3 linked regions of the Lytechinus pictus genome follow. The protein of the gene in region 2 purifies or fractionates together with the protein of the main gene of each other region. This does not show direct contact. Links are inferred from orthologs where the notes say so. Each region holds a gene or a part of one and is shown on either strand. Other genes may lie near its edges. The genes, in order: ras-related protein ORAB-1, Golgi phosphoprotein 3-like and ras-related protein Rab-11B-like.

The links.
Region 1: the proteins of Golgi phosphoprotein 3-like (region 2) and ras-related protein ORAB-1 purify together in Drosophila melanogaster (affinity purification with western blotting; 3 studies listed by BioGRID, with this or other methods). This does not show direct contact. The link is inferred for Lytechinus pictus from reciprocal best matches to the Drosophila melanogaster genes sau and Rab1.
Region 3: the proteins of Golgi phosphoprotein 3-like (region 2) and ras-related protein Rab-11B-like purify together in Drosophila melanogaster (affinity purification with western blotting; 3 studies listed by BioGRID, with this or other methods). This does not show direct contact. The link is inferred for Lytechinus pictus from reciprocal best matches to the Drosophila melanogaster genes sau and Rab11.

Annotation. Positions count from the first base shown.
Region 1 is NC_087251.1:18,746,099-18,754,185, reverse strand, and holds the start of ras-related protein ORAB-1, read left to right. Parts: upstream 1-5,032; 5' UTR 5,033-5,325; coding exon 5,326-5,348; intron 5,349-8,087.
Region 2 is NC_087249.1:5,503,523-5,510,919, forward strand, and holds the start of Golgi phosphoprotein 3-like, read left to right. Parts: upstream 1-4,305; 5' UTR 4,306-4,459; coding exon 4,460-4,657; intron 4,658-7,397. UniProt on the Drosophila melanogaster protein: Phosphatidylinositol-4-phosphate-binding protein that links Golgi membranes to the cytoskeleton and may participate in the tensile force required for vesicle budding from the Golgi.
Region 3 is NC_087247.1:18,305,816-18,312,850, forward strand, and holds the start of ras-related protein Rab-11B-like, read right to left. Parts: upstream 3,033-7,035; 5' UTR 2,708-3,032; coding exon 2,668-2,707; intron 1-2,667.

The sequences.
Region 1 (8,087 bases), on a different chromosome or scaffold from region 2:
GTAATTCAATAATAACAAGGATGGTATCATGGGTGTTAGTAGGGGCGGGCAAATAAAACCTATTTTTGTGAAATTCAATTTAAAACGATGAATTATGTTGCCATCTTGGCTGGGAGTGCAAACTAGTAATATATCTCTATGCCACAAATCTACTAAGTAGGCCTACTTTTTTTTTAAGAATACGTCTGATATTGGTTCTGAGCAATTTTTCGCATGTAAATCCTTTACATCTATACACATAAGGCTTCCAATATGTCTAACTGTGTGTTTTCGTGGTCAATGAGCACTAAACTATGAATCAGATAAGTTGGGTCATTTAAAACAACATTTTTGGGTCATTTTTGGTAAAAAAAAAAAAATTGTCCCCCAAAACACAATTTTTTGTACATAACACCTTAATCACTCATGATTTGTAATATATGTTCATGGCCACTGAGTCCAACAATAGATAAAAACAGACATGTGGTCTTTATTTGTATACTATATTTTCAGTGAAAATCGCATTTTCTGATTTTCACCTTTTTTGTAATGACTGGAAATAGACTGCAAATATCCATGCAACTACGGCCTGTTATTTGCTAACCATGCTTTCCTAGCGATTTGGTAGACAGTTACAAATATATCATTTGTATTATCTGGATTAAAAGAAATATTTAATAGTGTAGTTTGTGTCAAATATATTTCTTACTATTTCTTTTGTTTTTTATTGTTTGAATTATAGAATATTTAAATCTTTACATATTTGAAAAATAAGGACAATTTTTAAGGGCAGTTAACAAACAAAAAACACTAATTAACAGATGGAACTTTGTAAAACTTGTTTTTGTTTGTACGTTTATTGACAATTTAATGGGGTGATGGCAGGGAATTGAAACACCCTGCCCTCGATCGGGCGGTTTCGCTGCCCCTGTTTTGTTCTTGATGATGATGTTGTTGTTGTTGTTGATTTTGCTGTTCCTGGTCTTCTTTTGCAAGTAGGCCTATAGGATTATACCCAATGAAAAGCTCCATGAGGGTAATTATGTGTCCAACCAACATTGGGCATGTCTTTTTGGGCATCAAGTTTTATTTATCCAGTGTGATGAAAATTTTGCCCATTCTAAAGTAATTGCTGCTTATTTTTTAACCACACTGCATGGACACTACTTTATCATTCATTCTTTTTGCCGACGACTCAAATATATTTTTTTCTCATAAGGACCCCAAACATTTACTTGACACACTCAATAAAGAATTAAAACTAGTCTCAGAGTGGATCAAAGCCAACAAATTATCGCTTAATCTCACTAAAACAAATTACATGCTCTTCAGCAATATCATTGATGAACATTATTTTTGATAATATTAATATTCAAAGAGTATTAAGTACGACATTTCTAGGAGTAACTATCGACGACAGACTGTCATGGAAAGAACATATAGATAACACATGCAAAATAATTTCACGGAATATTGGAATTATAAATAAAGTTAAATTCTATTTTCCGACTCGTATATTATTAAACTTATACTCTACGCTGATACTCCCGCATTTGAACTTTTGTATTATTGCATGGGGGAGTTGTGCTGATTTTCATTTGAATAGACTTTTACTACTTCAGAAAAAAGCTTTGCGCGTTATTTGCCATTCTCATTATCGGGCACATACGAATGTTCTTTTTAAAACTCATGGAATTCTTAAGATACATGATCTTTACCATTATAATCTTGGATCTTTTATGTTCAACCTTAGTAAAGATGAACTACCAGACGTATTTTATTCTATGTTCACACGAAATATCAATGTACATCACTACCCTACAAGATCTGCTGGACTTTTCCATTTACCTAGAACGAGGACATTATTAACAAACAAACTGTTTATATCTTCTGGTATCAAACTTTGGAATTCACTACCGCAAACTTTACGAAATAAGCCAACTATTCATAGCTTCAATAGAGCACTTAAAAAAAATCTAACCAATAACTATAACACTCACATCATTCATCCTACTTAGGATATCTTGTGGATCTTCTGTTCTTCCGGATTCCCCCCTCCCCCACCCTGCCTTTATTTCGCTTCTTTTCCCGTCTCCTTTCTTTCGCTCTACCTGTTTTTTTTTTTTTTTTTTTTTTCTTTCCTTCTTCTTTCTTTCTTTTACTCGCTTTTGTCCTTTGTTTTGTTGTTGTTGTTGTCTTTTTTTTCAATTTGTCTGTTCTTGTAATATTTCGTCTGTCTTGTTTTGGTATAACTTTTTGTCATGTCTTGATCTTGTACCGTTCTGTCACGTCCTGGTTTTGTTACGTTTTGTCTTGTGTGTCCTTTTCACTTTTTCTTCATATCTTGTAAGATAATCCAGCCTTGTTTATTTTTTACTTAGGAGAATATGTAAAAAAAAAATACATTTAACAAGGATTTACATATAATTTTTACATATAAGTTTTACAAGAAAGATATGATGACTTGTTTATTGTATCTATTTTGAACTTCAACAAAAACGATATGATTAGTATATTATATATATATATTGTTTTTTGCATTAAGTCTTATTTATTGAAGGAAACCTTCAATAACAAGCTTTGCTTTCCAGAAGGTTCCTATTTCATTTCAAAATGTTATATTGTATTTTGCTTTACTTTGTAACTTTGTTGAAATTTTGGAATGAATAAATTCGTTGTCAATCAATCAATCAATCAATCAATTATGCTTCCTGCATTGGGTAAAATACTGCCCCAAATTGGTTGGACACATAATTACCCTCGTGCTGGTGAGCTGGTTAAAATGTTACCCAATATTTTTTTACAGTACAAAGAACGAGGGAGTCTATATACTTACTGATTGCCGTGTATGAATTATAAAATTTCAATTTCAATCAGACCCGAAGGGCCTGTCGATTATGTCAGGAATGACCACTGCCACGGTGGAACAAGTTACGTTTATCTGACGAGTTGCAACAGAGGAAATCCCCTTTCAGAAAAGTCAACGGGGCTTAGTCATTGTTGCTTAGAATAAAATTATATTTCTTATGTTTGCCGATTTTTTTTTTCGATTCTCGATATACCAAAGTATAGCATCGCTTTGTGTAGAAGGGTGGCCTCATTTTTGTTATCAAGGGGGAGGGGGGCTCCTATATAGGGCACACATAATGCCCAGCCCATCATGAGTAGACATTATAGACAGTCTGTTGGACTAATTCTCGTCAATGCTTACTACTTATGTTTAATAAAAATATGCTGCCACCTTAATTCCACAGTTTTCTACTATCATTGAACATTCATTCTTATCCTATACCCGTTATTTAATCAGCCCTAAATTGCCGCTTGCGCATGAGATTCACAAGAAACCATGGTCCTCATTTATGGAACTCTCTACCATGCAGAGTTTATCGAAAGACTATATCGTCTCTTTCTCATTCAAGTCAAAGGTTAAATCCAGTGTAACCGTCATTTTTTTCAATTTTCATCCACATTCTGAAATTGGTTTGTTGGTAAATATATTGAGCCTGTATACTTGTATATGCGCAATCGGCTTAACTGTAAAAAAAAAAAATGGGTTAATAACCCGAATCTTGTGCTCCAAATTAATATCGTTTACCCATCTATTCGCTAGGTAGGAATATTCCTGTACTGTTCATGCAATTTCAGGTTAAGCAAACTCCATTTATATTTGGCCAACTAAGCTGTCACACCAGGGTGCAAATCTTTGGAGAGTTTTATGAAAGAACTTGTGGGACTTGTTTAATCAGATCGTTTATCCCACAGTTACCATAGTAACAGCTTCTCAGGCCAACCAACGTCAACTATAAACTGACAACTTGTCGAAGCCTGTGGAACAAAAACAAGAACCCAAAAATGAGAGGATGGCCAGGTTATGTAGATTACATCATTAAAAGTTATTTTGTCGGAAAACGAATGTTAAAAATATAAAAATGCAGGTTTCGGAGAAATAGGCCGGGTTATTATTTTATAAATATATATATACGATAGCTGCATGTGGCCCCATAGGGGCACCCCCGGCCCACCCCTAGGCCTATTTGTGGTCCCCACATCGATCGGTTTCATCAATATCATGCTATCGATCTTTCTCTAAATTGTTCCTACATGTGATTAAAAAGTAAATCATGCGTTTTTTAAAGGACAAGTCCAGCCCAATAAAAAATTGGTTTGAATAAAAAGTAAAAAATCCAACAAGCACAACACTGAAAATTTCATCAAAATCGGATGTAAAATAAGAAAGTTATGACATTTTAAAGTTTCGCTTAATTTCGCACAACAGTTAAAATATGCACATTCTGGTTGGTATGCAAATGAGGAGCCTGATGATGTCATCCACTCACTATTTCTTTTGTATTTTATTATATGAAATATGAAATATCCTAATTTTCTCTTCATTGTCAAGTGAAACGGTGATTAATTTCTCCCTGAACATGTGGAATTGGCATCGTTTAATACTATATGATTCAGTCAAGTCGGTCCCTATGGTCAAATCTGTAAAAAATGAAATATTGTATAATTCAAACAATAAAAAACAAAAGAAATAGTGAGTGATGGACATCATCGACTGACTCATTTGCATGTCACAGAGTTGTGCATATCACTGTTTTGTGAAAAATAAGCGAAATTTTAAACTGCCATAACTTTCTTATTTTACAACCGATTTTGATGAAATTTTCAGTGTTATGCTAGTTTGATTTTTCTCTATTTATTCAAATCAATATTTTACTGGGGTGGACTTGACCTTTAAATAGAGGCCTAAAACAATTACAAGTTAAGGCGGTCAACTATTAAGACGATTTTGAATTGCTCGTGGACTGAGTGAATTATTGCAAATATTAGAGATTTGGCAGGACAATGTTGCTTGGAAACTTTGCATAGATCTAGATCTCTAATTAGTAGAAGGTTGATGAGTTCTGAAAAATGAATTTCGTAATTCAAAATATACTAGTTTTACACATCAGACCAAGTTTTTCTTATGTTATCAGCTGATTGCCACGTCGTATTCAAATGACGTCACCTCTATCCAATGAATACACCCCCTATTTCATGTAGTAATGCACAGTGGAGTAACTTGTACCGGTAATATACGTATAGTTGTATACAAAGCTCGCAGATGATACGAGAGAGCTAGAGATCATGCCAGCAGCCAGCGCAGTTTTGAAAGCGCACGCACACATACGTACGGATTATCTGTGTACAAATTGAATGTAAAAATAGCGTAATGTACAGGCAGCCATATTGAAACTTCCTCGATTGTAAAAGCCGGTGTAATCACAATTATTCACTCATTTCTATTCATCTTAAGTGTAATTAAAACACATTTTCTAACATACGTGGATCTACCCTGTCATGTCCACAATGAATCCGGAGTAGTAAGTATTGATACTAAGAACAGAATAACATTAATTTTGTTGGAAAAATGATGAGTTGCGTGTTGACTTGTGAATGTGAATGTGAGTGAGTGAATGCAAGTCTGTCGATGTCCATTGATTGATTTTTTTTAAAGGAATAGGATTTGTCATGTTCTGCATCTGTCTGCTGTGCACTAAGTATGCGTGCATCGGTACGACGCCTCTAAAATAGAGCATGACATTTCTTACTTCTAAAATCTAATGTTCTTAATCTTATGTTACATTAGTCTAGGCCGACTGAATTTTATTGCGAGTTATGTCTAACCATAGTCTGTAGTGTAAGAATGTAGTGTGAGTGTAGATGGCAAGTTCAAGTCTGCGCAGTCCCCCTTGACCTTGTCTGCGCACACACGTATCTGCGCGATTCTAGTAAGAGAAGATACGCAACAAACACAAACTTAACACATAGACAGATATTCATTAAAAAATCCGACTCAAGATGGTGGAAAAATAAGGAATTTTGGGCATTTCTTGTGACTGCCTCAAAATGCAGCCTTTCTCATAAAAAATACCCGAATCGTGTGCAAACTGAATGTTTTTTTTCAATCTGAAAATGACTGCCCGAGGTTTTTTCAAAGAAAATCCTATATTTCTTTCAAATTTGTATGAGATATATGGTACACTTTATAAGGAACATTATTAACTGAAAGATTTTTTGAAATAAAAAGAATTCCATGTTTAATCTTAACTCAAATCGTTAGGTGCGCAGACTTCGGGACCTAGCCTTGAGGACTCCATGATGATATTTTTTAAATATTTTGACAAACTTCATCATGGAGCCTTGACACTATTCCCATAGACGGAGAAGCGAGACCTAGACACCTGGATGGATTTCCCTAGGAAATCCATAGTTAGAGGGTGATATCGGTTTGTACGGGTGAATTTTATTGATATTTAAACCTTCAAACGCCAAATGCGTATGAAGGTTCCAAAAATTGGTTAATAAAAAAGTGAAAATTTTTAGGTTTCTTACCAGACCGATCTCGTGTAGATCCCTCAATCCATTTGTCAACAAAGCAAATACAATAGGTCTGACCCTTGAACCGCTTTGTTATGACGTACATTCGATTGGCGATGTTACAAAATGCCGTTTTGAAGAACAATTTATAGATACAAATTATTATTTAACAAATACTAAAATTTAATACATGATTATGAATAATTATAATAATAATTATTAATAATCACGTATTAAATTGCCTTTTCGTCCACTCATTTCATCTAATAACCAGTTGGTTCAATAGCCATTTAGGCCATACCATTTGGGCTAATTGGACTACATGTAAGTGTTAATTTGGCGAAATGAAGGAAAATAAATTGGGTTTTAGACCAACTGATTATGAGACTAAATGGCTGGAGACGAACTGGTGATTAGACAAAGTGATGATTGGACCAATTGGTTATTGAACCAAATGATTGATAGACAAAATGTTTATGGATGGAATGGCATCATACTAAATGAAGTTAGACTGTATGATGAGTGGACGAGTTAGCAGTAGACGAATAGGCAATTTACCATATAAAGAAAGTTAAAGGCAAAAACACTGTTGATCATCTTTAGCAATGCAATCCAGGATGTGGACTGTTTGCAATCATAAATAACATAAAATAAATTAATTTAAACCAGCAAAAGTAAATATAAACCTACATTATGATTTTTAGGTTGAAAACACAATTAGCATTGACTTTGTACACAATTACATTTTTGAGCAATTTTGGGTCTGACATGCACTTACTAAATGTTGGGTAATTTTGAAACTGCGTACCCGGTAAGATGCACAAGGCTTGAAAGTAAAAAGTCACTGAGCGGCGAAGTAAAAAAGTTATTGTGGTGGCGTAATGACGAAATTCGTCAAGAGAGGGGAGGGGGCCCCTCCCCACTTAAATAAGGGTTAAATTTTAAGTACAAAGACAACAGTTATACATCTTTTTATTGTTAAACATGAATTCCTTGTCCAAAATAACATAGAAACCAATGCAAAAATCATAAGCCGAGATATACAATTAAAAAAATGGGTGGGGGTCAATGACCTTTTTGCCCCAAATCATTTCTTTGGCAGCACCCCTCAATGTTTGACCGAGTGATGTAGACCGATTTTTCTGAAAAGGGTGTCAAGGTAGCACAAGCTGCATTTATGGAGCTGGTCCTCTCCGTGATTTGAAACATTGAGAAAAATTTCACCGTGTACTTGTATAGCCCACCACTACTATAATGCTACCTGATGCTTGTGCATATATTTCAAATTACTAAAAATGTAAACTAGCGATCTCTACTGCCTGCATTTAAACTATGGCATGCGATTGACACCTTAGATCCTAGATAGCACTTGGGACATTTATCTTCGTGATCTTGTAATTGTGGGTATGCACCTATTTTTTTGCAGTTTGTTTGTGTCACTTTTAGTGGTGCATTCTCGAACCAAAACAAAACATCTGAGATATGCTCAGATTTGAGCAGAAATCATCTACAATCCCAGAGCTTCCAGGGAGCCTGGAATTTGAGTATAAAAAAACGTGTGTCCTTTCTCAGGCACATACCCACCACACATTATCCAGTGTGCCTCGCCCCCTCCCCCTTGATGTGTTTTATTCCATTAAAATTGAACTGAATTATAGATTTTGACAATAAAAACAAGTAACTGGACTACATGTACATGTTTACATGGATTGGTGGATTTAATGCAGCTGGGCATGATAACC
Region 2 (7,397 bases):
GCTACGCGGTTGGCACGAGAGAGCCTTCAGTACACAAGGCATGAGTAGGCTGCACATTCAGACCCTTAACCCGAGTGAAGGGTTTGCCCAGCAGACTAGATAAGTGCTGCGCTGGCCGGCGTGTGCGAGGATTATTTTGTATGGCTTTGTTTGTTTTCACTAATTATTGGTCCCAAGAAATTTGAAAAGCCAAAAAAAAGGGGGGGGGGATTTCACACAAAAAAACAAAGGTGATATTTGGTTACTTTTTTCTTTTCTTTTTTTCTTCATATTTTCCTAAGTACCTGGGGGTGCTGCCTATATGGAGAATAGTAGGCCTATATACGCAGCACCCCCGCCACTAGCGTACTTACGGGGGGGGGGCAGGGGGGGCACTCTGCCCCCCCTGACGAGTCACAACCCATGCAAAAACGTATCTTTGCCCCACCTGACGAGCTTGAAGACCTTTTTTTTTTTTTTTTTTTTTTTTTTTTTTTTGCTTGTCAATTTTTTCTGGAACGAAATCCTTTATTTGTGATCGAAGACCTTTTTTTTTTTTTTTTTTTTTGCTTGTCAAATTTTTTGGCGGACGGTTTTGCCCCCCCTGTGGAAAATCCTAGGTACGCCACTGACCCCCGCCCAAATAATTTTTGGGGGTGCTCCAGCACCCCCACTTCCCAGGGCCATGATATACCAAGGTATATACGATGAAAATTTATTCATATCGCGGCACATCCATCTCATGTCTTCTTTTGCGCCATTAATGAAACTGATTTCACTCAAATTTCTTTATCATACAAAGGAAGCGCTGAACAATGAGCGAATACACATAATTTTATAGGCCATGTATGTTTCAAAACAAACCACAGAGGTTTCCGTGCTTCGCGGGTATTTGAAAGGGAAGATTCCTCTCCGTGCATCATCTCTTTCCTATTTTGAGCTTTTTTGAATTACTAATATAGAGCAGGTTAAGGTTTAAGAGAAATTTTGACATTTCTGATCTTCAACGGTATTCGCGGGAAGGAATATCTTCTCTCTGCATATTATACCATCGATCTATCCCGTTTTGCTGTCTTTTCAATGTAAATTTTTGTTATCAAATACCACTCAATGAATGCCCTTTTCTGTTCTCATTTTTTTTTAATAAAACGTTTTGACATCCACGCTTCGTGCGGTAAGAGGAATCATTTCCAATTCCCTAAACATTTTCCCCGGGGGGCCACTTCCATTGACGAGTGGATAGTCCACCGGCGTAAATCCACTCTGAGGAGTGGGGGGGATGATTGACTTTTTGACGATTTTTTTTCCGTCGATCTCACGCTTAGGTATAAGCACATGCACACTCTCACTGACCCCCCACATACCCCCTTACACACATTTTAATATTTATTTTGCGAGAGCGAGCGAAGCGAGTGAGCCAAAAAATAACAATTTTTCTAGTTTTTAATCGCATTTTCTAAAATAAATTCTAAAATATGAGCGAGTAAAGCGAGCAAGCCAAAAATAACCACTTTTTTGGTTTTCAATCGCATTTTCAAATATAAATTTTAAAATATGATGGTTGTTTATGACAGATATTCAAAGATTTTACTAACAGATTAATTAAAATATATTTTCTTTCTTAAAAAGTGGGGGGATATTTGTACACGCCATCCCCCCCCCTCTCCAAAGAGTTGGGGGATATATCCCCCCATCCCCCTCCCCCCGGATTTGCGCCACCATGGGGTCTCGAAAAGCACCCTAAACATGTATTTTCCATATTCTAAAAATGCACCCCTTAACAAGTATTGGCGTGTGAAACCCTACCCTTAACAAGTATTTGAAACAAAAGGATACTCTTGCCAAATATTCCCTGATTTTTAAAGCGATATTTTTATTGTTATGTCACGGCCGTCTGTCGTCGGTTACCTTTACCTACATCATTGCATGGGTTTAGTACAGCCCACCTCCCACAGTACATCTCGCGCAAATCGTACTCTTAACACGTAGTGTTGACTCTTGGGGCAAAAAAAGTACATCCCTTATAAAACATTTTAGTCTTAATTTTTTACCCCCTCGCAAATTTGACCCTAAAGGCCTAAATACGTAGCTTTCCTAACGAAAATAGATACCCTTTTTTCACTATTTTAGTGTTTTTGACACCCTTATTACGTTACGTACGTAACATGCCCTATCTTGAAAAAGACATCCTTTTTATGTTTTTTTTTTTTGGTCGCGCATGGTATCCACTCGTCAATGTAAGTGGCCCCCCGGGACATTTCCCAATTTGGGGGCGTTCATATAATTTATTTCGAAAACAATATTTTTTATAACAGCATTAAGCCAATTGAATTCGATTTGATAAGGGTATTAGCAGTGGCATAGTAGCGGGGGAGGGGGCAGGGGGCCACGTGCCCTGGGCGCCACTTTCAGGGGAAAGGGGTTGCAAATAATTAAAGAAAAGGAAGAAATTAATTTAAAAGGCAAAGAAATAAAGGCACACAAAAAGGAATACCAGTGAAGTTGATCAATACCCCCGTTCTATAGTGGAACCGGGGCCAGTCGCGGTTCTAGGAAGGGGCTTTGTGGGGACTGAAGCCCCCCCCCCCCAAAAAAAAAAAAAAAATCACTCAAGCCCCCAAACAATTTTCGACTCCAAATATAGTGTTGGCCCTATAATTTATTTGTATTATGATAATAGAATAATGCAGCTTTTCATCCATGTCACTCACCAAGTGCTCGAAAATTCGAAATTTTCTCGCTAGGTCGCTACACCTTCCCTCGAAAAAGCGCATCGAAATGCAGAATACATTAATGCTCTCTTAATAGTAACAATAATTATTATTTATTTATTGGTTTTCTTTATTTTATACTGCAGGGTAGGCCTGTTCAGTGATGCAAAACTGCTTTCCTGAGGCGCCCTGCAGTTGAACAAATTACTCAAATAATAATAAAAATAAATAAACAACAATAATAATAACATTTAGATCTATATAGCGCTTTTTTTCTGAGGATACAGCCCTTGCTATTATTAACCCGGCTTTAGCTCGAGCTACCATCACTGGCGCTCAGTGCATGCATGGAATTGATCCTGCCGGGTACCCATTCATCTCACCTGGGTCGAGTGCAGCACACTGTGGATAAATTTGCTTAACCTGTGGGGTTTTTTGCCCCCCCCCCCTTCCAACCACCACGAATATAACAATAATAACGCGTAAAATAAGGTCAAATCCACCTCACAAAAATGTTGATTTGGACCAACAGAGAAAAGTCAGACAAGCATAATGCTGAAAATGACTTTAAATAGGATGTAAAATAAGTTATAATATTTCAAAGTTTCGCTTATTTTTCACAAATGGTCAATATGCACTATTTAGTCACATGCAAATGAGAGAATCGATGATGTCCCTCACTCACTATTTCTTTTCTTTCTTTTATTGTTTGAATGTTGCAATATTTCAAATTTTACAGATTTGGCAATTGGATCAACTGCCGCTTGACTGAACCATAAAAATGGTAAACAATATGTTTAGAGAGAAATAAAACGTTATTTCACAGGAAAATGAGGAGAAAATTAGAATATTTCGTTTATAATATATAACAAAAGATAGTGAGTGAGTGAGTGATATCATCAGTTACCTCATTTGCATACCGACCGAGATGTGCATATAACTATTTTTGAATGACATCCGATTTTGATGAAATTTTTGGTGTAATAGTTATAATGGTTGAATTTCCTCTTTTTCTTCAAATGAAAGTGTTTTTTGGGGGTGGACTTGTCCTTTTAACTCTGAATTTGCCTATTATTGTCAAAAGCGCTCTGAATATTGCCATTCTTTTTAGGATATAATGTTTATATTGTTGATGACTCGGTCTGAGGCTAAAGTTAGTCATGTAATTAAACCATTAAGAGTTCAGAAGTGTCGGTCCACATCTCGGATGGGAGGGGGTGGAAATATCAAGTTATCGCCAAATCATAATGAAGAATTTTGCGGTTGAAGCACGCCGAAAAATATTGATTATTTTATTCACCACATTCCTTCGTTATAGGGGCGAGTCAAATTTTCTAAAATGTGAACATAATTATTATAGGCCTATAATAATTTTAGAATGAAAATCTTGGGGTGTCAGCTATCTTGTTTCAAGAGTTTTTAGATCTGTCTTCTTCATCTTTAATCTTTTTGATCAGTATTTGTTTGTTGAGTTGAAATAAACAAAAAACAAAACAGTGCAATTAAGTGAAGATAGATGGGGGGGGGGTAATCTTTATCGCATATTTTAGCCCCCATAATAATAGTTAATACCAGACACGTTTATACGCGCATAGACAATTGAAGATGGAACGCCACCTTGCGTTGAATTTCGATCAGCAATTTGACGTCACTTCTCGCAGACGAAGCCATTTTGGAAAAGCCGACCCATTTCACACATCATAACAAGCGGAATCTATAACTTTTCTTCAAAGATAGGCAGAACCTGCTGTAATAATTGACATTCTATCATGAGTACCTTGACTCAAAGAGGTAGTACTTTAATTCAAAGACACACAGGTGGAGGATCTAAAGGAGCAGAAGGGGGAAAATCAAGTAATGAAGCGGACGAAGATCCGTTTCGTGAAGAAGAAGATGACTGCGAATCAAAAGAAACGAGATTAACATTGATGGAAGAAGTTTTATTATTGGGTCTGAAAGACAGAGAGGTAAAGTATGGAAAACCCAGGCGCTAATGCAGTTTCGCACCGGCCGATTACCAACATACCTCATCACCAATACTTGTTCCCAAATGTCATGACAAGTCTCTCACTCTCAGTCTCAGTAGGATGGGGGGTCGGGTGTCCGGACACTTTATTTTTGAACTAAGCCTTCTGTTTTGTCTTTGGATTACACTAAAAATATGAATTCAATAGTTGTAATCATCTTCCATTTTGTTCTCTATAATATTTCCTTACATTTTGTACTAAAAATTGATGAAACTTCGCTTGTAAATATTTCCAAATGACTTTCTAAAATGGATCGTCCGGACACACAACCTGTCCGGACACACAACAACTGGGTACCGTATACTATAGGGTGTCTGAAGCCACACTGGGTGATTTCAAGTTTGGTGTTCTGTGTTGGTGTTGAGAGCGTAAAAAGGCCGCTGAACCGAGCTCCAACACCGAGCTGGGTTCAGAGGAATGATACCGATTGCGTTATCGATAGCACATGACGTCACGCCTCTGCGCTGCGCTGCTAAATCATCTCAACTTCACGCGAGAAGTCTCGACGACGAAAATGAAATCGGTGAGAAATGCATTAAATTCTCATCGTACAGAATACCAATGTTTTAATTAATTCAAGAATTCGAAAGAGTGAACATTATTCTTCATCAAAATATATACAGCTCAAAAATGATTTGTGCTCATCTTAACTGTAAAAGCTAATTTTACGGGGATGTCTCATCGCGTTCGCCGCCTGTTCACGAGCTTGAGATTGCCAACACCAACACCAACACCGAACTTGAAATCATGATTTTCCCAATCCCTGGGGGTTGGTGTTGGTGAATGGGGAAATTGCACGTAGATCGTCAACATCAGCCGCAGTGCTGGGTTCAGCAGACGATATTCAACACCAGCATTCAACACGAACTGCCGGAAATACGTCATATTTTCCGAGGTCAATCCCAACACCAGCCTGATTTCAAGTACGGTGTTGTGGCTGGTGTTGGTGTTGTCACAACACCAACACCAGATTTCAACACCGTACTTGAAATCACCCACTGAAAAGTGTCAGCATAAAACAGGCTGATTTAGGGGAAAATATGGCACATTTTTTCGGGAAGTTCAGGCTGCTAACGTCCATGCGCAGTGAGTCGCAATCGACTCAAATCTTTGTATTATGAGATGAAAGTATCCACAAATCCTTTCAAATATATGATAAACTTTTCTCCTGAAATTGCTACAGTTTTTAGTAAGAACATCATGAATTACACACTTCCGGAAAGGCGACACAATGATGGGTATATTTTGAGTCGCCGATTCGAAAAATCCAATACATTTACTACACAGGCATATCGCGCATGCGCACACACACGCACCGATCGTACACAAAAGTGCATTGACTCAGCTGCGTTGTTGAAACCTCTCCGTGGGTTGAGATATACGTTGAGTCGCCACCCCCTCTTATTTTGATAACAATTGTCACCCCCACCTTCAAAATGAAATGATTGTGAACATTTTTTTATACTCTTTATTTTGATACCAAATATTGGTAACTTGAGCGGGCAGTTTTGGAAACATCGATTACTTAGTGTGGGCGTCTCAAATCGTCGCCCGAGAAAAATGGCAGCTTAAATTCTCACCGTACGGATCCAAATTTGCAAGTCTGACTTTGACTGCGCTAAACTCCTTTGTGTTTTGCTGGATCTTTTAACCAAACGTTGCAGCATTTCAATGCCACAAGACACTTTTCAACATTGCAAAAGATTTCTAGAACCATGGTAGTCAGGCAGTGACAGGTGAGTGGCGCAACAGTAAAAAAATTGCACATGGCGACTCACTGCGCATGGACGTTAGAGTAGCAAAAATGTGATCTGAATTAATTATTAACTTGTGTTTGGCATGTATGGAAAGAGAAAATTCAGGGGGTTCTTTTGACAGTAAGGACAAGTTTATATGATCATTTTAAATAAGGATTTAGAATTAGAGATAAATTGCAAACCCTTATTTGTGTGTGTGTTGAGATTGCCATTTCCCCATGCGTTTTCTATGGGAAAACTAAATGTCTGTTTTGCACAATTTTTTTCACTTTGTCGCAATTTTTCATTGTGATCTGGTTTCCAAATCTTTATAAAAATCATACCATCAGAAAGAGCATAAAAAATCCTATTGGACTCTTTATGGACAAGTTTTTGGCATTAATGATAAATTTATAACAGCTCTCGGAAGCTAAAAATTTGGAATTGTGTGTGTCCATATCTTAACTACACAGTCTATGGCAGAGAAATGCTGAAAATTTACCTAATTTCATTCTTCTTTTTTGCAGCCAATAATTGGATTTTTTTCAAAAATGTTACATTTCTGTCAGTCTGAAGGTAATTTCTCTTCAAATTCACAAAGAAAATGTGATATTTTCTTGAAATAAGAAAAATAATTTTTTCTCCAGACACCCTACTCTCAGTCACATTTTGAGGTAAATAATATACCATACCCACCTCTTTTCCAAATATCGCGATCGGGAAGTTAGCAACCAAAAGATTCGCCTGCAGCATGCTGGCAGTTTGTTCGCCACATGTTCGTATGATTTGGTTGCTAACTTCAGTCCACATCATCATTACTGTGCACGGCGAATCCAAGCAATCCGCGAAGTGATGTCTGAGGATTCGAACAACGACATCGAGATCAAAGCTGAAATACAGCCGTTCCCGATCGCGATATTTGGAAAAGAGGTGGGTATATTGAC
Region 3 (7,035 bases), on a different chromosome or scaffold from region 2:
GGCTCCGTAACACAAAGATTAGCGATCAATCGCTAAATGAACTGACCAATCAATATCAATGTTACACGTGCATTTGGTTTAAAATGCTGACCAGGGACTAATCAGTGCAGTTCTTTCATATTTGCAATCCGTCGCAAACCTGCGTTACGGAGCCCTGGGCTCCGTAACAAAGATTAGCGATCAATCGCTAAATAAACTGACCAATCAATATCAATGTTACACGCGCATTTGGTTATACCGACCAGGGACCAATCAGTGCGGTTCTTTTATATTTGCAATCCATTGCAAACCTTTGTGTTATGGAGCCCTGTAGTGGCTAACCCATACATTTTTGGCACCAATGCATGAAGTTGGATGTGTACTTAATTTATTTGGATTCTTTCAAGGAGTTCTTTGAATTTGGGGATTGGTGTAGCGTAGCTTTAAGTTTCGGACCCCTTCTAACGTTACATTTCGGACCCCTTCTAACGTTACATACTATGTAACGTTAGAAGGGGTCCGAAACTTAAAGCTATGACTTAGGGCAGCGAAATAAAGAAGAGTTCAGAAAATACGTTGGGATTTTCATATCACTATTAGGCCTAGATCTAACATTATACCCAAGTTAGTGAGTTTTGTGATATTTTCTTCTGGGTTAGGCCTAGGATATTTACAAATTGTGAGAAAAAAAATTGTTAAAATTGGCATACATGTAGGGCTTATTGTTAGTAAACCAAAGTGCATACAGCTTGAGGTCTCCCCATCATTCTATTACTAACATTAGCCAGGAGGAACTTTGTTGATTATACTTGGACTTTAGAAGTTTAGTTAGAGAAGAGAGTAAAAATCATACACTAACTGTTTAGTGTTAGATCTACATTCTAACCGCGGACGTTTATACCGGTAGTGAATGATTTTTACTCTCAACTGTCCAAGTTACGACAAAGTTCCTCCTGGGGCTGGGACCTGGCTACTCAGATCAGATATTTCAATCACATACATGTTGCAATTGTCACTTCAATGACGTGACTGTTCTTAATCTAGTCTAGCGGTAGACCAAAAGCTTCGGTCTCTGTTATGTTGGTTGTTCTGCTGAACTATGTTGGCCGGTGGCTCCACTCACCAAATACAGAGTCCAAAGTTATAGCACGATCTGTACAGGGGACTCAATGGCCATGTTTATGTATGGCAGTGTATCCTATTGCCGGACACCTTTATTTCAGTGCTTTAAAAATGACAACTAGAGGAAATACAATCAAGAAAAATTCGCACTTGCTATTCCAAATATTATGAAAATTATTAATATGATAAAATTATTTTATATTTACCAACCATTTTCTTTACATCGCACTTGCCGCATACCCCTCCACGAAAAACAATTATTTTCGTGCGCGACAAATTACATCATGATTCCGGACGCGCGCCGGACGGGTAAAGATATCCTTGATTACAATGATGTAAGAATAAATTTCTGTGATTTTTTTCTTCTTATATCACATCATGAATAAATTCTAACTTTTTGTTTGCTTTTTTTATATCGAATCTGAACAGATGTTGGTAATAAATTCGTGTTTGATAACTTAATTTATTTTTTATTTTTTGGTTAGCTGCATGTTTCATGGCACTTTCCAGTGCTCGTTCGTATCGTGACGCTCATCAAGTTCTATCGATGCGCAGCCGATCGTCGACGGGTCTACTCACGGTAAACCTCACGCACGGTACCTTGAGAACTAGCGGTCGACGATCACCCACAATACACCTCACCTCATCATTCGATCGAAGGAGCCGACGAGATTGAAATTCGGAAAATCAGGCCCATATTTCTGTTAGAAAATATATCAATTCATTCAATTGTTAATGCAAAACTATGTTATATGATATTTTAAGCATTTTCTGTCATTTTAGAGATAAATAAGGTAGAAATTTGATTTTTTCGCCTTGTTTTTGCAATCTTGTTCTATGTATTGATCTGTGAAAATGAATTGCGGAAGTCTTACGGTACGAAATTGTTTTCGAACGCATTTATATGCGCGTCCGGAATCACAATAGTGTCCGGTAATACAATACGTGACTATACTTAAGTTAGGATAAAATGGGGAAGTGAAGTTGCGACAGCCGAAGTCACTGTTTTTCCCCTTTTAAGTTTATTTTTCCCCGTTTTGGTGCTTTTCAGACTAAAACGGAATAATCTCTTACTCTATTTTGGTTCAACTCTTTTTCAATATTTTTATGAAATAAAGACAAAAATGTGCCCCGTCGGGGGGATTTTGCATTAATTCATAATTGTTCTCCCCCTAATCATGGTGGCTGCACGTTGCACGATAGCGAGCCGTCTGTGTACGAGGAGAAATTAAAAAAATAAAAAATGTTGAAAAACTCCTCAAAACAGACGGCTGCCAGCTGTCTAGTCTAGCGGCTGATCATCGTTCGTTCACGACAAATTTTCTAAATCAGCACAACAGCATTGCCCAATTGACATCTGTACGTCCGGACAGTACCGGTAGGCGGTACATGTACGTTACGTTGGGTATCGTACACGGTTTATGTCGGCTTATCACTGGTGCAACAGCGTACAAAACCGGTCTTCATTAGACACAATGATTTACTGTAATAATACGTACGCTAGACTCTTTGAAAGCTACAAAGTTACGCTTTTTACAGACACATACCATTTTACTAAAAACTCACCTTTAAATAAATAATCGTACTCATCATCTTTCGTGCCCATCTTGTAAATTGTATCGCTTCGTAAATTCTTTCAACCTGTTCGGTTACGCCCCTGAGAAGTGACTTCCGGATATGTCACCGGTAGGGATTCCCAAATAAACATAAAATGATGAGCAATAATCTGATCAATAAAAATCCAATCGTTTCGAATTGGTTATCAATTAGAATATCAAAACAATATTAGAGGGTAAACTTCACCGATGTCGTTAGATTTGGACGATTTCTCCAAGTTATTTGAGATAGACATTAGTCTTCGAATTCGGTACAATGGCGGCTTCTAACGCCTACAGTAGTGTGACGTCACATTCGCGATCCGAAATAATTGCAATATATGCACACACGTAATTTACGAATAGGTCTAGAAACATTTAAATTATTGGGGCAACTTATAATTTTTGTTCGCAATCATTGCAAAACTACGTGTATTAATAGAGTACAGAAATATTGTGATACGATATGTATATTCCATACCATTATAAGGTCTATGTACATAGGCGGATCCAGGGGGGGGGGCCGAGGGGCCCGGGCCCCCTATTGGCGGAGCAAAAAAAGAAAAAAAGGAAAGAAAAAAAAAGGGGGGAAAGGAGGAAAGGAGGGAAAAGAGAGGAGGAAGATGAGTTAATAAAATAAGATGAGGGGAAGACTTGGAAAATAAAAAGAATCTTTCATGTCACTGTATAAAATTTTCGCTCGCGCTCGCATTGCCTTTTACTTTTTTTTTTAGGTGATTTTCATATTGTGTTCAATATGGAGATTAAAAAAAGTGATTTGTAAAATGTCAGTTTTATGTTCTGAATATTAACATTTTCTATCATCAGATTTTGCGCCCTCATGCATTAATGAATAAGATATTAATTTAATGATTAAATTGTCCATTTTGTTTCATCTCGCACTTAGCAAGAGAAATAGGAAGACAGTCATCATTTTCATATACATGTCCTAAGGATGTCCCGGTCCTATGTTAAAACTGAAAGTAATAATAATTAAAAATATTAGCTCTTTATTAAGTGCGATCCATATCCACCTCAAAATTTTCCTACAAAGTTCTTGAAAAATAGAGCTGAAGTTATAACTGTTTTTTTAGATCGGAAATCGAACAGTTTAAACTCGCGCTTCGCGCTCGCTTTGATTTTCATAATAAAAGATGTATTAAGAATGCCTAGATTCTAGGTCTAAATATGAAACACGCGCGCGCATGTTTATTCAGATAGTCAACTTGTTCTCTGAATCATTATCCAGTTTCAGATCACAATATCAAAAATTTTCCGCTCACGCTTTGTGCTCGCATTATTAATGTAGGTAGACCCCCTATTACTCATTTTTTTCATGATTTACAAAACATGAATAGAGTGTCCCGTTTTTAGGTCTAAATCTCGATTTTATCCGCTCGTGCTTCGCGCTCGCATCAATTGTTTAGTTATAATCCTGTTCACGATTACAAAAATTGATTAAAATTTTACATTCTTTATGAAGAAAAGTCAAAAATTTTCAGCTCGCGCTTAATTCGCGCTCGCATTATTTGATTGTTGAAATATGAAACGTTTTCATGGCTAAGTGCAAGCAGTCCTTAACAGGTACATTTTCGATCAGTTCAAAACGTATATAAAAAATTTCTGCTCGCGCTCTGCGCTTGCATTATTAATGTAAGGAAGATCCTCACTTACTCATCCTTGTCATGATTTACAAAACCTTAATAGAGTGTCTCGTTCAGTAGGTTTAAATCTCGAATTTTTCCGCCCGCGCTTCGCGCTCGCATCATTATTGTTTAGTTATATACCTATTCTGTTTAAGTTACAAAAAGTGCTTAGAATTTCCATTCCTTAGGTAAAATTGTCAAAAAATTTCAGCTCGCGCTTCGCGCTCGCATTATTTGATTTTTAAAATATGTACAGCGTCTTCATGGCTAACTGCAAGCAGTCTTTAACAGTATCTTTTCCATCAGTTCGATTCTGCTCGCGCTTCACGTTCGTAGTAATTTTTCATTTGCATACACATCTTTTTCAGGATAACAAACATTGCCCAGAATGTTCAAGATTTTAGAAAAAAAAACATAATATTTCCAATAAAAATGTTAGCTCGCGCTTTGCGCTAACATTGTATAAATAAGGATTATGGTATTATATATTTATGTTTATTCATTAGAATAAAGCTAAGAAGTGACTATTATGACTACCCCTTCAAAGAAACCAAAAATCCCGGCAAAAATCATCTTCGAGCGGCCGATCGGGGAAAATATGGCTGAAAAAATTCCGGGCCCCCACCCCTATTGGCGAAGGCTGGATCCGCCCCTGTATGTAGGACACTGGCGTAAATCCTGTCCGAGTAGGGGGATGATCGACAGCAGCTAAAATGTTGGTGTCACCCCCACACCAAGGGCAGGGCCCTGTAAACGATTTTGTTTTACTGAAGGTTCTGATGAAAATTATACAAGCATTTTTTGTCAAGCATCACTACAAAATAAAGGTCATTTTGGTCCAAAGAATTTCGACAATAAAAAAAAGGACGAGGGCAGGGGCGGAAATCTCTCCCAAAAGGTAGGGGGACAAGGGGCTGGAAAATTTGACAAGCAAAAAAAAAAAAAAAAAAAAAAAAAAGGTTATCACCCCAAATGAAAGGTCGACCAAAATAAATTTGACAAGCAAAAAAAAAAGAAAAAAGGTTATCACCTCTAAAGACGTACGTCATCTCGTCCAAAATACATGTTTTATTTCGATTTTGAATGAGGTATTTCTTTTCATCACAAAAGACCAAAAATAGTAGGGGGACATTTGATATTGTGTCCCCTACTATTTTAAGTCGGGCTGACGCGTCCCCCTGTCCCCCTTGGATTTCCGCCCATGGGCGAGGGGGATGGGTATAAGGTCATTTCATTTCTCAATTTTTGTCACTCCTTTCAGAATTCCTGGAGGTGCTGCCTTAGGAAATTAATGCACGCAGCACCCCCCCCCCCCGAAAGAAAATCTTGGGGGTGAGTGAACCAGCACCCCCGGCTAGGGCCATGACCTTGCAATGGCCTATACAACTACAGGGGTAACCGTCGATCGGTACATCTTTCAGTTAACAGCATTCAGTGTCGATGGATGTAACGGATTTGTTGTGATATCATTATGCGAGCGAGCAAATATCAGTAGTTGGACTACAGATCGAATGGTGTCCAAAAACCTCTTTCAAGTGATGTGTAGGCACGTCACGGGAAATGTATAGGCCGACTGTAAATGTGTACATCTTTCAATTAAAGGCCTATCACGATAGACAGAATGATGACTATTTCGTCTTTCAATGGGTGAGTAATTGTTGGAGAAATGCAGAGAGAGAGAGAGAGGGGGGGTAGTGAGCAAGCCTTTAAAAAGTTGCTTCAGTAGTTTAAAATGATCATGCATAAAAAATACACGAGGATGATAAACTGAGGGTAGATTATCAATAAAGTAAACTTAAGAAAAAAGGGAGAAAGAAATAGAGAGCAAATAAGGATTAAACAGTTCATATTTTGTTCAATGAAAACTCATTTGCTCAGTGGTTAAAGGTGACACCGAAAATGAACAAAAAATGGGATCATGATTATCAGCAATGAGGGTGCTTTATGAAATGAGTATAGACCATCACATAACCATAACATAAACTTCTAAAAAATGTGGAGTAGCACAATTATGCAAATGAAAAGGAAAAAAAATGACAGAAAGGAAATATTTAGAATACTATTTAAGACTATAATGGTAGCTGATGCAACATTCAAAATTTTGAGCAAAATTAATATTTATCAGATCGTTAATTACGTTAATAGATGTGAATTAGAGTCTTCTATAAACGGATGACATTGTAAAGCGTGGGGGAAATATTTATGTCCTGCCTTGCCTCAGAGGCACTGTACGATCGATATACAGAGTCTGTGTTTTACTGAGTTTGTCAATGCAATCAGTATCTCAAATTGGCGCTTAACTTGTACAAAATGTTTTTATCTCCCGCTTCCACAAAGATTCCAGGATATGACACCCCTCCCGCCCCCACACACATATACATTCACTAAAAATGATGTTTTGATCGGTTTTGATTTGTTTATGATCAGTTATAGCCATATTTGAAAGCCATTGGTTTTCATAAATGGACTTATTATAACCATACTCTCATGATGCAGCGGATAATATCCTTTGCAATAAGCTAAACGTATAGGGATTTGTTATAACCTATATAATTCTTGTAAGAACTATATTATTGAACGCGAGAGCGGATCGACCGCGCGAGGAAATTTTGCATTTTGTTAGAATGCAAAATTGGGCCAAGTTAAGCAATTTGACTGCATTCAAAGATGAATCCACGCATGAACAGTAGTAT